Linked DNA regions of Arabidopsis thaliana. The protein of the gene in region 1 interacts with the protein of each later gene in a pairwise test. Each region holds a gene or a part of one and is shown in the gene's direction. Other genes may lie near its edges.

Region 1 (6,631 bases):
TGTGATCCGATTTACATCGACTCACTTAATGCCTTCATTTACCGCACTTGTTAATAGACGTCTTGTTCTTCAAATTTGTCCATTTTGTAAAATTGTAGGGTCAAAAGTTGTGATGATGAAGTTATGAATGTGTTGAAGAGGAGGAGGGGTCCTCTATCATCAAAGAGTCATGGACGGTTGTGCTGAAGTTTCATGAGACAAGATCTCGATGGAAGATCTATTTGACTCTTTTTTTAGGGTTTTTTTGAAATTGAAAGCATGTCTTCCCGACACATCGTGCATTACAATTTCATGATCACTCCATTAATTCATCAAATCGCTTTTATAGTCAACGCCATGATCCTTTGACTCTTGCTTCTTGAGCTCTACGATTGCTGGACTCAATTCTTTTTTCCGATAGTTTTTCAGTATGGTGGTACATATATGTTTTGGTGGTACACTAGCTAGTTTTGTACACATAATTTTGTGGCGGTAAAAAGGTGAAACGTGCAATATTAGTTTAAGAAATTGAGATTACTAGGATCCTTGTATCATAGCCAATGGTATGTCAACAAACAAAAATAAAAGCCATAGTCTTATACAATGGCGGATCCAGGAAATAATTTTATATGGAGCACAATTATAAAAAATCAATAAAAAGACATAGCAAGGCTTGAACTTGGGTTAATGTGGGGCACCATTAAGTAAAATACCACTACACTACATACATTTTTAATTACATAATGCAAACTTATATAAGATTTATATAATTGAGTATCGGGCACATGCCCCACCCAAGACCAACGTGTGTCCGCCCCTGGTCTTATACATTGTCATATTGCTGCGGATAACAAATAAAACAACAAAAATTGACTGTATAGAAAGAAAAAGAAAAGAGATAGGAAATGTGGAAAGTGAGAGAGCAATATGGAACCCACTAGACCCATAAGAGAGTATTGGTTATTGGACGGACTTTTCATGTGTCTACCATACTTTGGATACGTGTCGTCCATATAAAGATGATGATTGATGATGATAGTGGTGATGATGGGCATGACCATGGGAGGCAAATCTTTGGCAGAGAATCAAGTGAACATTGCCATGTCTTTGCCACTACCACACTACCTAACTATTTAGTAAATTTTCTTATTCTTTTGCCAACGAATCTGATCGCCAAGTATAATACGATGAGCGCAAAACACTATTTCACATTTAGGTTACATTTTTTTTATTTAATACTGTTCGTAGATGTAAAAGCATTTAAAAATAGTATCTATAATACTTAGAATATAAAACATCATTTATACTATATATTTTATATTGTGGATTTTTAACAAATCCCATTAACAAGAGATACTTGTAGCATGGGAACTTACAACTAAATTACCGTTATACTACTATTTTCCTCTCTAAATAATACATTCATCTCTTCTTATTTATCTCCAACCACTAAAAACTTTGACTGGTCATATAATTTTTATGTTACCAATCATCATAATTAAGATTTACCAATTTAACTTCACAAAAAAAAAGATTTATCAATCTAATTTACTGATTGAGTATTACACCAGAGACCAACCACATTTGTACTAAAAGTGAGAAAAAGAAAACATAAAAATTATATCCAATAAGTAAATGATACGCAGCAAAACACGTCACATCGACTCGCATATGAATACACAAACCCCACAACATAAACTGCTAAATAGAAATAGGGACGATGTTGTGGTCCGACGAAAATCTTTTCCACTAGTCACTCTTTCAATCAGGACCATTACAAATTATTTCGAATGTTTGTGCAGAGTATAAATAAAAACAAATTGAATATTGTAAATACATCAACGATCCACCGTAAAAACATTCAAAATTCTATTCCTTTTTTTTTTTTTTGGGATTTAAACCACTCTTAACATTCAAAATTATAAGCAAATTCTTAATTAGGTTCAACGATTATTTGATCGGTGACATCCCAGCAGCTCAATAAACATATATTAAAATCGAAAATAAAAAATACTGTCATCACAAAAACTCGTTATTATTTAATCTCTTTTAAAACATCTTGTTTTCGAACATCTTGCTAACTAATGTATAAGTTTTTTTGTTTTTTTAAACGTTAAACTACAATTCTTTTTGACAATGAACGGTTTTTTCTATATATATATATTTTCAAATGGCTGTTAAAACCCACCAATAGCAATGCATGTGGTTGTGGTAGTATACACATTATTAAATCCCTCATCCTCTTATCTTAAAAAAAAAAAAAGTCTTTGGTGGGCTAAACAAATCCTTTAAAATCTTCATATAGATTTCTTTCCATTATTTATTTTATCCATTATCAAAGTCTTTTTTTTTTTTAAATTTCTTTCTCTCGTTGTCTCCTTGGAAATTACTTTCATCATTTAAAAAACTTGCTTACTCCGTAAACCAAAGCTAGATCCAATTAGTCTTATTTCCTTTTTATTCGTCTCTCTCTCACTATCCGAGATTTGGGTTGAAAAATACAAACCCCCTTTTATTTCTCCTCTTCTCTCCTACAAGCTCATTCAGAACTCTCAACATTTCCGGTAGAGAAAAAAAAACCGTTTTTTTTTTAATCTCTTTCTAAAGAAGGATATCAAAACAAAACACAAAGTTGAAAACTTTGCATCTGGGTTTGTCTATTTTAGATTCAGATCTTAGTTTTTTTCGATTGAATATCTACAATGGTAATGGAAACAGAGTCAAAGTTCCATGTTTTAGCTGTTGATGATAGTCTTTTTGATCGGAAAATGATTGAGAGATTGCTTCAAAAGTCTTCATGTCAAGGTAGATTCGAAAAAGCCATAATCTTTAAGCTATATGTATTGGAGAAAGAGAAGGAAGATATACTGAAAAAAAGGTTTCTTTATTTGGTTCTTGTTCTTATGTTTTGCAGTAACTACAGTTGATTCAGGCTCTAAAGCTCTGGAATTTCTGGGTTTAAGAGTAGATGACAACGACCCAAATGCACTCTCTACATCGCCACAAATTCATCAGGTTCAGTTTTTGATCTTTTACATGATTCAAAGTTGGTTACTTTCGAAATTTGCAATGAATGGTTATATTGAGATTTGTTTGTAATTTGTGGCTTTTGAGCAGGAAGTTGAAATAAATCTAATAATTACAGATTACTGTATGCCTGGCATGACTGGTTATGATTTGCTCAAGAAAGTTAAGGTATTTCTTCTCAATTTGGTTACTGTCTTTTCCATCTCTGGCTAAATTCGTTTCCAGAAAAAGAAATAAAGTTTTTTACTTTAGTTTTCTTTTCCAAATGAGAATGTCAATGGAGAAATTGAAAATCTCATTTTGGAATATTTTCCCACTCAAAAACTTTCCTTTATGCCATTGTTTGATAAAAAAGAACAATTGATTTGCTTCTGAGTAATCTACATGATTGTTGTGTATAGGAATCAGCGGCGTTTAGAAGTATACCTGTAGTTATAATGTCATCTGAGAACGTTCCTGCAAGAATCTCCAGGTAAGAGCTCTGTTTCTTTAAAGTTAATTTGAGTATTATTGATTTGAGAATTGGCAAGTGGATACTATTATTCGATTCTTTGGTTTGAATAAGTCTTTGAACTATCTACAAAATTGTGGTGGTTTCTTCCAACAGATGTTTGGAAGAAGGAGCTGAAGAGTTTTTCTTGAAACCAGTGAAGTTAGCTGATCTTACCAAGTTGAAACCTCATATGATGAAAACGAAGTTGAAGAAAGAAAGTGAGAAACCAGTTGCCATAGAAGAGATTGTGGTGTCTAAACCGGAGATAGAAGAAGAAGAAGAAGAGTCATCAGTGATTGAAATCTTGCCTCTCCACCAAGAAATTGAATCCGAACAACTTGAACCAATGTTGAGTAGTAATAAGAGAAAAGCAATGGAAGAAGTGGTTTCTACTGATCGATCACGTCCTAAATACAATGATATCACAACCTCGGTCTGAAGGAGGACTAACGCAACCCGAGAAGCCACTACAAGACCTATATGGAGAATGCCAACAGAATCTCTCAGTAGAAGATCTGCTAACTCTTGCATCTGAAGCAAACAACAACGGACTGCAAGGAGGACTAACGCAACCCGAGAAGCCACTACAAGACCTATATGGAGAATGCCAACAGAATCTCTCAGTAGAAGATCTGCTAACTCTTGAATATGAAGCAAACAACAACGGACTGCTAGGAGTAATACCGCAGCAACATCGTTATCATCAGGAAAAAGAGACAATGCAGACACAAGGAGATCCACTAAATCGAATACCTATTCAATCAGAAGCTTCAAACCATTCAGATAGTGGTAAGTAGCAACACTAGAAATGTGGTTTCATACTATAGCTTTTGTCATCTCTTATCTTACTTGTTTCTTGGTTGTTCTCTCTTTTCACTCAGGTGATAGCACACTAACAATGGCTCAAAACCAGGATGGTCTCGGACACAGTAGTTGTTTTATTCTCTGTCAATTTACTTCTCTCCCCTAGATTAGCTTTCTTCGTTTTTTTCTTTTATTTTTCATGCTGTTAAACCCACAAGATTTTTGGGAAGTTTCTTGCTACTAGCTTAAGAATCCAAAACTATTGCAAAGATTGAAGCTTTCGAGAATTAGTAATGAATCTTATCAAAACTAACAGCTACATTTACTAGCTTAAGAACCATTAAACGAATTGTAAAATTCTCTCATCTTGTGGGTGTAACAGCATCAAAGATCTAAATCCAATCTTATCAAAAATTGGAAGTGGTCGAAAGTTTTGGCCTTTTGATACGAACAAGCTTCAAAGATATAATTCCTGAGATTGAAGATGAAATTTTTATGATTTGTTCCCTTTGGAAACGAAAACTGTATTAAGAGAGCTATTTGTCCCACATCGGAAAAACAAAACGTTTTGTTGTTGTATATAATAGGGAAGGTAGCGAGTATTGTACGTCGAACTCAGTAACGCGGGCTTGTGATCCAAGTGGAGACAATAAGGGGATGGGACGTTGGGTCGATCTCATTGGGCCGGGTTCGGGTTGGGCTATATTCTGGCCCGCCCATTCCAAGTTGGGAGTTGAGGCATGGGCTTCGAGCGAAGGCTCGGGTCTCATGTCTTCTAGAGTGGGGGAGACCGCGTGAGGCTGGTTTCACAGAGCAGCGTCCACCTCCCGCTCTTGACGGTGGAAGGATTACGGGCCATTGCCTTCCGAGCCCACTATGACCCAATAAGCCGCTCCGATTGGACCATCACTTTTTTATTTTCTCTTTCTTATTTTTTTGTGTACTCTCTCGTTTTTTTCAGTATTTCAAAACTGGACAATAATATTAACGTTTAACTATAAAGAAAGCAAAATCATTAGCCCTAATTTTGATTAGAGATAACATTCCAAGAACTATCTAAAAAGAAAAAAAAATGTGACAAAAGGAAGCTTCTGTGATGTTTGTTGCATCAAATTATTTTACATAATTATTTATTTCCAATCACATGAGTAATATTCATTATGCCTCCTTTTTATGCAATATTTCTGTTGTTTTGTGAAGTACTATCAACTAACGATAGGAAAAATACAAAAGTTTAATTATAAATATGAAAGGAAACAAAATATGTCCAATTATAAGGGAATAATTATTAGTTCGTTGGGGAAATGTCAGCTAGCTCGTAAATGACATTTATTTTGGTATTTAAAAACAAAATAAACACACTATCAAAATTTGCATAACATATAGTACCAAGTAATCAACCACTGGGTCGGGTTGATAAAGTTTGGGTTGCGATCTTCTCTTTTTATTGGTCGAACAGTGACGTGTCCCCTAACGCTGTCCTAACTGGCCAGAAAGAGACACGGCTGGTGAACAGAACCCACACGTGGCGATGTCTTATTGCTGGAAAGATCCTCTCGTGTCCCACGTGCCTGATTATTCTTTCATATTTCATCTCCTTTACCGTAAAAATTCCACCATTGGATCTCCCAATTTTTCCAGTGATTTTTCTTCTCTTCAGCCAAATGAATTGAGCTCACAAAACTGAGAGAGTGAGAGATTATGGCGATGCCTTTGGAAATGGCGATGCTTTTGACGAAAACGGTTTGGTTTGCTCTGAGCGGCTGGATTTTAACATGTTTGTCCATCGCCGACGAGATTGCTGGTTCACTCAGAAACCGAGAAGTTGGTCCTCCTTTACATCTCGCATGATCACATTTACATTCTTCACCTCTTTCCTAGCTCCTACTCGATTTTCAGCTTTTTTTTTTCCGGTGTGAATCGTCCCAAAAGATTGAAGAGTTTGGGTTTATAGAGGAGATAAATATATAGGTATAGGTGATTTGTTTGCTCATAGATATATTATACGTGTTAATTATTTGTGTGTGTTTCTGCTGATTTGAGAGAATTATAATATGTGTGTCAATTGATGCTTGTCTTCTGGTTCTTATTTCCAAAAGTGAATTACTTTCAAACTGTGATGAATGATATGTGAATTTGGACTATATTCGTCCATTTGATGAGTTACATTCCTAGAGTCTAGAGATTCAGCTGATTTTAGTTGAGAATCATTCAAATAGCTTAAAAATGTTACAAGACTAATTGTAGGACGAGTTATGTCAGAAACTTGTTTCAAATTTGACATGAAGAAATTATAAGCAAATAGTAAGTAAAGATTTCACTTCCTTT
Region 2 (5,183 bases), on another chromosome or scaffold:
ATATGATTTGATAATATTTATTTATTTGTTGTTTAAATGACTTTTTTTTGTTCTTTTTCTTTTTTGCTAACTGTCTATAATCGCAAATGTTTACAAAAAAGAACTTTTAAAATTCATCGATTTGAATGGTTTAGAATGGTCCGAAACTTTTGAAATGTCTATTATTGATTTTAAAAGTTAGCACCGCAACCGTCCGTAAATATAAGATTTGTGAATTGTACTATTATTGATGTTTTAGGTTAAAAATGGTGTGTAAGCAAAAGAAAAGAGAGATTAATTGGGACAAAAAATCACACGCGTGAGTCTTAATTTCGAGGCGACGCCAACGTAAAGTCCAATTTCCCACTTGCAGCAAATTGCGCCTGAGATCACGTGATGCTTTCGTTCTCACGTGGCTCTTCTATCTTGCAACTTAATTATCACTTAAATCACTTATTGAAGAAGGTATTATTTCATCATTAAATTAAATTATCACTTAATTATATCACTGTTATTGTTCCAACGGTATTTGTTGACGGTTGGAGGTTTCGAGCATTATTAAGATGCTAAAATTGTCAAATTTAGTTTCAACAAAATTACTGAATTGAAAAGAGAAAACACTATTTTAGAAAACGTTTTTTTGTTAATGAAGTGTGTTAGTGGTAATTTTATGAAGCCACTCTTTCATTTTACTCATAACATCATCCATTTAAGTTCGGAGAAAATTCAAATGCAAAACATTTAGAAGTATATATTTCAAACATTTTTATTATAACAATAATTTTTCTTAACATTTCAAATATATTTATATTTTTGCGTAGAAATTTGAAAATATCACTTAATAAAACAAAATAATTTCTCTAAAACATCTTAAAGTGAAACGGAAGGAGTATAATAAAAATTGAATATACTTGCATAACAATTGGTCTTAAATGTTTTTCGATAAATCTATTTGTATAAGCATAGTAACTTAATGGTATAGTAGAAGTACTAATCGATCTCAGAAGGATGTTAACACTTTTTTTCTCAACTAATTTTCAACGACTGTTGCAAAAAGAAGGAAAAAACGTAAACACCGCAAAAATGGCAAAAAATGCGAATTGTGGCACTAAGGACATGTGACCTGGTTTCTTTGGCTAAGAACAAATGCACCTTTAACTTCTGCTCTGCATGGAATCTTCAGTCTCCACGTACGAGTCCAAGTGTCGTGCGAATGTTAATATTCAAACTCTACAATAATTATCATCAAACAATATAACCAATTCAAGTATTGATTTGTTTCCAAAATAACCGTTGTACTTATGCTTACGCAAGTCCGCAAGTTCATATTTGATATGCTTCTGTCTAGAACAGCTCTGCCCACAGTACTCCGTAGTTCGTCCGTACTCGCTACCAAGAAGAACAAATTCAACCGTATAAATGTTTATGTGGGTTTTGACCCAAAACACTTTGTCATAATCCTTGCTCAAAAAATCGTTAGGCGCTAGTCGAACGATGAGGATAGGTCTATCACCTAACAAAAAAATCAGAGATTATACGAAAATTAATCGGAAATTAAGTTTAGGGTTATTTAATATTTTTAAAACATATTCCTCCATTACAATTAAGAGAATTATATAACATTGTTTTTAGAATTGTATTAAACACATGAAAACAAGATTTTAAGTTCAAATTTATGATTTTTTCATACAAATTAGAACATAAGTTTGATGTTTTAAATTTGGATATTTAAAAAGTTGGATATTTTTAAATGTTTATCTTAAAAAATAAAAAAAAATGAAAAAAAAGTTTTGGACTAGGCATCCTCTAGACAGGTTTAAGCGGATCTATGATGAATAAATCAGATCAACGATTAATCTTTTCGATTTGGACAAAATTGCGGTAGACTCTATCCGATCAGCCGACTTTTTGAACAAGGGATTCATAACTATTCTTCGAAACATTTCACTAGTTACAACATTTATATTCAGTTTTTATTCAATTATTTTTTATACTTCTTTTTTTATATATATTTGGATCAAATATGTATCTTATATAGTGGGAGTCAAATACATTTTTTTAAAGTCAAATACGTTTTTTTAAAAGTCAAGTACATTATTTTAGGATTATTGATGTACAAACAATATTTTAATCTATCTTCATTGAACAAGCCCTCTATATAAACGGTGAGAGTTGGGTGGGTATTACCAAGGTGAGGTTGAGAGCATCTTCCAAAAGAGAGAGTGTTTGTGTGTGTGAGAGAGAGTGAGTGTGAGTGAGAGAAGAAAAAAAAAATTGAGAGATTAAAATTTGAGTGAAATTAGGGTTTATTCTCTTCTTGCTTTCTTTGCTTCGTTTCATCTTCAAACCAAAAGAAAAAAACTCTTCCATGTCCTGTCTATTCATCAGTCGTCTTTCTTGAGAAAACACAAATCACGATTTTCTTATGAAGTGTTGCTTTATGAGTTTATATTTTGCCAAAACTCATCTAAAACGACAAACTTTTGTTTAAAATTGTATTTGAAAAGTGTTTTCAAGAAAACGATATCCATCAAAAATATTATGATTTTTTCTGTCAATTAATATTCTTTCATTCTTTTATAGAGTTGATCAACTTCATGGGCATTTTTTAGTTCCCTCAAGTTTTGATCCTCTTATTTTATTTCTTTTTTTGTTGATAAATTTATTTTAGTTTTGATCTATGGAGGTTGCTTATTTCAAACCTCGTTGATCACTTTTATTTCTGTATAAACCAAAAAACCAGTCTTTGAATTTTTTCTAAAAAGACAGGTTTTATTTCTTCAACCATTTTTTAATTATAATTTTATATAATCTTGTTTTTTGTAGTACATTTTTTTTTGTATTTCAGGAAACTCCGATGGCGGATCTCTTCGGTGGTGGCCACGGCGGCGAGCTTATGGAAGCACTTCAACCTTTTTACAAAAGTGCTTCCACGTCTGCTTCAAATCCTGCGTTTGCGTCCTCAAACGATGCGTTTGCGTCTGCCCCAAACGACCTATTTTCTTCTTCTTCTTACTATAATCCTCATGCATCTTTATTCCCTTCACATTCCACAACCTCTTACCCGGATATTTATTCTGGATCCATGACCTATCCATCTTCATTCGGGTCGGATCTTCAACAACCCGAAAACTACCAATCTCAGTTCCATTACCAAAACACTATCACTTACACTCACCAAGACAACAACACTTGCATGCTTAACTTCATTGAGCCGAGCCAACCGGGTTTTATGACCCAACCGGGTCCGAGTTCGGGTTCGGTTTCAAAACCGGCTAAGCTCTATAGAGGAGTGAGGCAAAGACATTGGGGAAAATGGGTCGCGGAGATCCGTTTACCCAGGAACCGAACCCGACTTTGGCTCGGAACATTCGACACGGCTGAAGAAGCCGCGTTGGCTTATGATCGCGCCGCGTTTAAGCTTCGTGGTGACTCGGCTCGGCTTAACTTCCCAGCTCTCCGATACCAAACCGGCTCGTCTCCGTCTGATACCGGCGAATATGGTCCTATTCAAGCTGCCGTAGACGCTAAACTAGAAGCCATATTAGCTGAGCCGAAGAATCAGCCGGGCAAAACGGAGAGGACGTCGAGGAAACGAGCTAAAGCCGCGGCTTCTTCAGCTGAGCAGCCGTCAGCGCCACAACAACATTCCGGGTCGGGTGAAAGTGATGGGTCGGGTTCACCGACTTCGGATGTTATGGTGCAGGAGATGTGCCAAGAGCCAGAGATGCCATGGAATGAAAATTTCATGCTCGGCAAGTGTCCTTCTTATGAGATAGATTGGGCTTCAATTTTATCGTGAAAAATTAGGATTCAATTCATTTTTATTCATTTTAACTTGTTTGTATTTTCTTTTAAACTTTAGGGTTATTAGCTGTGCGTAAAATTTGTAATTTAGCATTTTGTATGAATGTAATGCAAGTGTGTAAATTATGGACAGCTCAAGCTTTTTTGTTCATGCCGTACCATGTAGACCCTTCTTCTTTTCTCTTAATTGAAATGAATATGGTTAGTATTACTACTATGAATATATTGTAACACATTAGAATCGTGAAGTTCCATTCTGCGACAGGACCATTGTGCTTAGCTTAGAAATGATTAAAAAGTAAATTAGTCTAAAAGGGAACAATATAGTGAAAACTTAAAATTTAAATTGCTAAATTTCTAGCTTAATATTATAAATTTTGGTCCTATTTTGAAGAAGTCAAAAGAGAAACACAAGAGTGGAAGAAAAGGATCCTTGATTGAACTTTACGTGGTATAAAGATAACCTCATACAAAGTGCCTACGTTGACGACATTCTCATGCTTTCTCTTTAGAATAGACCGAGTGATAGATAATAAGTAAAAAAAAAAGTAAAACAATTATCAAGTCTTTAAGTTAACACAAAAGATTAGATTTCTTTTTTTGTGTTTAACAATGGTAACCAAAGTGAGTTTTTTTTACGAGCAAACGTTGTCAAATGAGAAAGGAAGACTTGGATGATAAAAGTGTCCATGCAAATATAGAAACCAATTGCCAAGCCAAAGGAATGAGAGAATGCACATATATTAGGCTTGCACATTCGGGTACCGGTTTGGGTTCGACTCGAGTATTTGGATTTTGGTTTCGTACTAGGAATCGAGGTACTATTTGGGTATTTTAAAATTTTGTTCGGGATTGGTTTGGTAACCTTCGGGTTCATATCAGTTCGGATAGTTGATATGGGTGAATTGAAAATTATCGGATACAGTTCAAGTTGGTTACTTTATACTCAAATTTATCCAAACTACTCGAAAAGAAAAACCCGATGTTCCCAATCAAACCAGGCAATATAGGTTAAAGGAGATCATGAGTTTAGTTAGGCTTCAAATATATTCGAGTTCCCGTTAATTTATCAGGTATTATCCTTTTTGAACCAATACCGAAAATATATGAAGACAAGACCCAATCAAATGTTCTAGAGGATCCAAAACAGACCCAAACCGATATTTCGGATAGGTTCTGGTTCAGTTCTTCGAATCCGAGTATTAACCGAGACCTAACATATATTGCAATCGGAATTAATATATTCACTAATAACAACTTTCTCGTCAATACTAATAATGATTCTCTGTACTCTAAGCGTTTATTATGGAGACTGTTTTGCTTCTTTTTCTTCCATTCATTGAATCCATACACTACAATCAAAGATAGACTCAAGACTTAACTTCAGATTCAAAACC
Region 3 (4,650 bases), on another chromosome or scaffold:
CAGTGGAGGGATTTCTTGAGTGAGAACCAAACAGTTGGGATGTTGTTCTTGCTTTTGTTCTTCTTCTTCTTTTGGCTTTTTTTGCTTGAATCTTCCATTGTTGTTGTCGATATCTCTCTCTTTCTTTCTCTCTATCTTCTTCTTCTGAATATTTTTGGAAGTGATGCTATAATAAATATAAATTAAATATTGTCGCCGGATGATAGGTAATAATAAGTGGATTTTGTCTTATGAGATATATTAAAAAACCAAGTTTCTTTTCTTTCTAGAAGGCATGTACGAGCAAATGAATCTGAAGGAGGTCTACGATGTCTCAACTCACCGATGTAATAAGTAATAACACGAGAGAATGTTTCTTTCACTTACTGTTTTGCCATTCTTAAAAGTGTAAAAACTGAAAAGACTTCACAACATGTTCATAAATCATGAAATAGTAATTTATAGACTAGTCCATATTTACGAATTATCACATTAACTGAATATTGGAATCTTTTTAGTGGTAAACTTGATTTAATGCACGGTAATAAGAAAAGAAAAAACAAGCTAAATTTCATGAACTTGCATTCATTAACAAAATTAACATTAGCCATAAATCGTGATTAATTCAATGATTTTGGTTTTTAAAAGATCTTTTTTTCCTATAGTTACCGTGTAGAGAATCTTGAATTCATGTCATACTTCTAAACTTTTGGAATTTCCTTTAACTTTCTCTTACAGAATTTAATTACAGTTAATACGATCATAAATCAATGAGACTGTGCGTGAGCAGGTTCACCGGTCTAATAAGTACTTTTACTCGCAAGAAGAAACAAATATTTTATTTCTAAATTTACCTTTGAGATTATATGGTGAAAGAGTTGATTATTCTTCTATGATGTCTGAAACCTAGTCAGGCTAAAACTACATATGTATTCACTCACTATTCATAAATACGTTAATCCAAGCAATAATGATGACAAATTGTTGGTCAGTGACAACTAAATGAGAATTACTAATGAATTAATAGCATGGCTATAGGAAATAAAATTGAATAAAAGAACATTGATTTCATTTCTTTCTGCTTGCATCTGTCAATTCACTCTTAAATGCCCCATAAGAGCATATGAAACATTCTGACATTTCTTGGAAAGACAGTAATCAATATACATTTTAACAAGCCATTAAAATTTATACTAAACTTCTTATTATTACACCATGCATGTAACTTTATCACTCTAGTTTGATAAATAACAATAGTTGACATAATATGTTTATACGAGCGGACGGTGAAATATAAGATTTATTTGTATAAACGAAAGTAAAACCGCAACGATAGTACATCAATATTTTTGCATTATCTCTGTTCCTAATAAAGTAACACTGTAGTATTTACATCATATCGACTTCAAAACATGAAGGAATGGATGACAATAACAGTTCGTTAATGATCAAAACACAATAACTCTAATCTGAATTGTGAGTTTGTCAAACTTTGAAAGTGCATTTATTACGAATTGTAGATATCGCAAAGGGTAGATAATGGAAGTAGGTGTGGGTGTCGTTATAGCCATATTGAATTCAAAAGGAAAGACATTAAATTAGAAATTGAATTTTGAAACATGTTGATAGATCATGTCCTTCTTCTGGGTTACCCAGTTTTGCCCTAAAACCTAAAACCAACAGGACCATCATTTCGACCACACCACATTGACTGGTCTGCCCCAATCTAGCTATGATATATCTTAATTTCCGTATGACTTGGATCCATAAATATTGAAATAGATTTGGTGAACACAATTTACTCTTAAAACTTCTTCTCTTTCATGCATGTTCTTTTTCTCACTTTAACATTTTTATATAGTGACATTTTTAGTAATCCAACGTTATTTATATGATTAGTAATTCATCAAATTTATATAGTGATAAAATTCCACAATGGTTGTTCAATAAAAATATGAACAACACAATAGAATTAGTAAAAGTGACTATGTTAAATCATTTTCTTCGCTGGGGTTTGGTGGGCGAGTTCTAAACCCATAAGCGGCCCATTTACTTCGTAAACTCAATTCGATTTGTTCAGCGTTCCAAGCCCATAATATTATTTTCAAGGGCATAAAATAAATTGAGGTTTATATGGAAAATTTGGAAATTCCCTCGTCCAGAAGAAACCAACAAAAACTGCAAAAGTTCAAGCGGTGGGAGAAAAAACTTCAGATCGTAGCCATTCATTAAATTATAATCAACGGTTTAAACCTCTTCGATCCGCGTACTCTATTCTTATTGGTCAAATAACTTAATCCTCCAACATATATAAACAACAATCAGATTTCTCTCTGTTAATTTCGTCAAGAAAAAAATTCGATTTTTTTGCGCTCTTTGTGGGTTGTTGTTGTTGAAAATGGCTGGTCGTGGAAAAACTCTTGGATCCGGTGGGGCGAAGAAAGCTACATCTCGGAGTAGCAAAGCCGGTCTTCAATTCCCGGTGGGTCGTATCGCTCGTTTCTTAAAAGCCGGTAAATACGCCGAACGTGTTGGTGCCGGTGCTCCGGTTTATCTCGCCGCCGTTCTCGAATATTTGGCCGCCGAGGTAAAATTACATCGTCTTTTCTCTCTTTCCCATTCCGTTTCCGATCTTATTCGTCTGACTCTGTTTTTGCGTGATCGATTACGAATCTAGGGTTCTTACATTTTCCGAATTTGACATGCAAAAATTGAATTAGATTCGTGTTTGAATTGAATTGTTGTAGTTCTGTAATTGACCTAATTTTGGGTTTGTTCTGATTGGTTGATGGTAATCGAGATCATATGAATCGTTGTAGTTTTCTCGCAAGATTCTAAATTTTTTTCAATTATGGTAACCAATTTGATTTGAGTTGTTAAAGTTCTCAAATTTGGAAAGTTTGATCATGAATTGTGTGTTTTGAATTTGTTCAGGTTCTTGAATTAGCTGGAAACGCAGCAAGAGACAACAAGAAGACACGTATTGTTCCTCGTCACATTCAGCTTGCGGTCAGAAACGATGAGGAGCTAAGCAAGCTTCTTGGAGATGTGACGATTGCTAATGGAGGAGTGATGCCTAACATCCACAATCTCCTTCTCCCTAAGAAGGCTGGTGCTTCAAAGCCTCAGGAAGATTAGGTCTTTTAACACAATGATATAGAACACGTCTCTCTTTTGGCTTTAGATCTAATAACCTAATAACTAGCTAGATGTTTTCACTTTTTGTATCTTTGCTTTTTTTAATTCCTTTAGGGATTTGTTTCTTTCCGTTTCTGTTTCGACATGTTGTTTCTGTTTTTGTGAATATATGAAAGTATTTTGCGAAATATGAATGATAATGTCTTTCAAAAATGCTGATGCCTTATTCAACAAGCAAACACTGCACTTTGTAGAAGTATAAAGATTTTCTTTGTTGTTGATAGTAATAGTACAAGAAAGAAAAAAACACAAAGGATTATTATTCTATGGCCAACAAGATTGAAAAAATATGAAAAGAAAGTATTTCTAAGACTAAATGTGAAAAAAATTGGTACAAGTGAGTGACAGTGTCTATGCCTCTTTAAATTACATCTGAAAAACTCATAATCAGTGACTAAAACCTGACATGTCTTGAGGGTTAATGCCATTACACTCACAGCAGGAAAAGATAAGCTCTCAGCAAAACAGCAGATGAATTATGTCCTAACAGGTAACGAAACCAAAGATTTGTACTTTTTAGTCTGAATCTGAACTAGACTGATCCACGCGTCTCTCTGTAATAGCTGGAAACAGCTTCTGCCTAGGATCTAATGAAGGCGTTTGTCTTGGAGTTTCAGAAGATGCTGAGGCTGTTGAGCCTTGTTTTCTGGCCATCCTTACGGGTCTTCCTCGTGCTTCTCTGACTTCTTTGCAGGATTTATCTAAGATTATCAGAAAATCGCGCACAATCACAAACAAACGCAACCCTTCGTCTTTTCCTGCTTTGCCATGGAAATAGTCCCCTGTACTTTTCACCAAAGCCATTATTCTCTTCTCTTCCTCGAGTATGGACATGATGCTTCCTTCAGCATTTTGAATAAAATCTTCAAGCGCTTCACGAAACCCACTCTCCTCGCCTGAACTTTTCATCTCTGAGTTGACAAAGTCTCGAGCTTTCGACAAAGCATGACCCATTTTAAGAACAGTCCCTGTTAAACCATCGGCATCTATGTTTGCAGATTTCTTTACATGTTCAAGCTCACTGCTCAAGCCTGAAACTTTCTCAAGTCCAAGATTACGGTAATTCTCTTCTGACTCTTCAGAGGTTTCCTCGACTAGGAGATCCTCTGTTTTAACACTTGAGAAACTTTGGCTCTCTCTGATAGTACGAGCCGCTCTTACACCTTCAGTCCTAATTATCTCTTGAACAACAAAGTGGAGGAGCGTTGTTTTCCCATCTGTTCCCTTGACGTCTGCTAATTTCAAAAGAGTGTCCAGCTTGAAAGCTTGAGCACCACCCCTAAATGTACCATCATTCATTCGGTTTCCGGTCTTAAGAACTGCCTCTAAGAGCTTCAGGAACAGCCGACTTCCCCTAAGTTCTTTACAAGCAACCTTTCATATACACCAAAGAATATACGTTTAGATTGGAGAAGAAAGAGTCTTGAGAAAGACTAAGAAACTGTAATATGTTTTTCTTTTCAGAACAAAGTT

The links.
Region 2: the proteins of RR3 (region 1) and AT1G36060 interact in a two-hybrid assay, tested with the Arabidopsis thaliana proteins (one large-scale study listed by BioGRID).
Region 3: the proteins of RR3 (region 1) and RAT5 interact in a two-hybrid assay, tested with the Arabidopsis thaliana proteins (one large-scale study listed by BioGRID).

What each region holds. Positions count from the first base shown.
Region 1 is NC_003071.7:17,219,599-17,226,229, forward strand, and holds RR3 (response regulator 3), read left to right. Parts: upstream 1-2,241; 5' UTR 2,242-2,681; coding exon 2,682-2,784; intron 2,785-2,893; coding exon 2,894-2,994; intron 2,995-3,096; coding exon 3,097-3,174; intron 3,175-3,407; coding exon 3,408-3,478; intron 3,479-3,613; coding exon 3,614-3,938; 3' UTR 3,939-4,288; intron 4,289-4,380; 3' UTR 4,381-5,282; downstream 5,283-6,631. UniProt on the Arabidopsis thaliana protein: Functions as a response regulator involved in His-to-Asp phosphorelay signal transduction system. Phosphorylation of the Asp residue in the receiver domain activates the ability of the protein to promote the transcription of target genes.
Region 2 is NC_003070.9:13,453,316-13,458,498, reverse strand, and holds AT1G36060 (Integrase-type DNA-binding superfamily protein), read left to right. Parts: upstream 1-2,162; 5' UTR 2,163-2,836; coding exon 2,837-3,781; 3' UTR 3,782-4,003; downstream 4,004-5,183. Other genes in the region: AT1G36050 (Endoplasmic reticulum vesicle transporter protein), read right to left, coding at 4,816-5,138.
Region 3 is NC_003076.8:22,194,163-22,198,812, forward strand, and holds RAT5 (Histone superfamily protein), read left to right. Parts: upstream 1-2,124; 5' UTR 2,125-2,377; coding exon 2,378-2,566; intron 2,567-2,913; coding exon 2,914-3,117; 3' UTR 3,118-3,330; downstream 3,331-4,650. Other genes in the region: AT5G54630 (zinc finger protein-like protein), read right to left, coding at 1-98; Fh5 (formin homology5), read right to left, coding at 3,694-4,551. UniProt on the Arabidopsis thaliana protein: Core component of nucleosome. Nucleosomes wrap and compact DNA into chromatin, limiting DNA accessibility to the cellular machineries which require DNA as a template.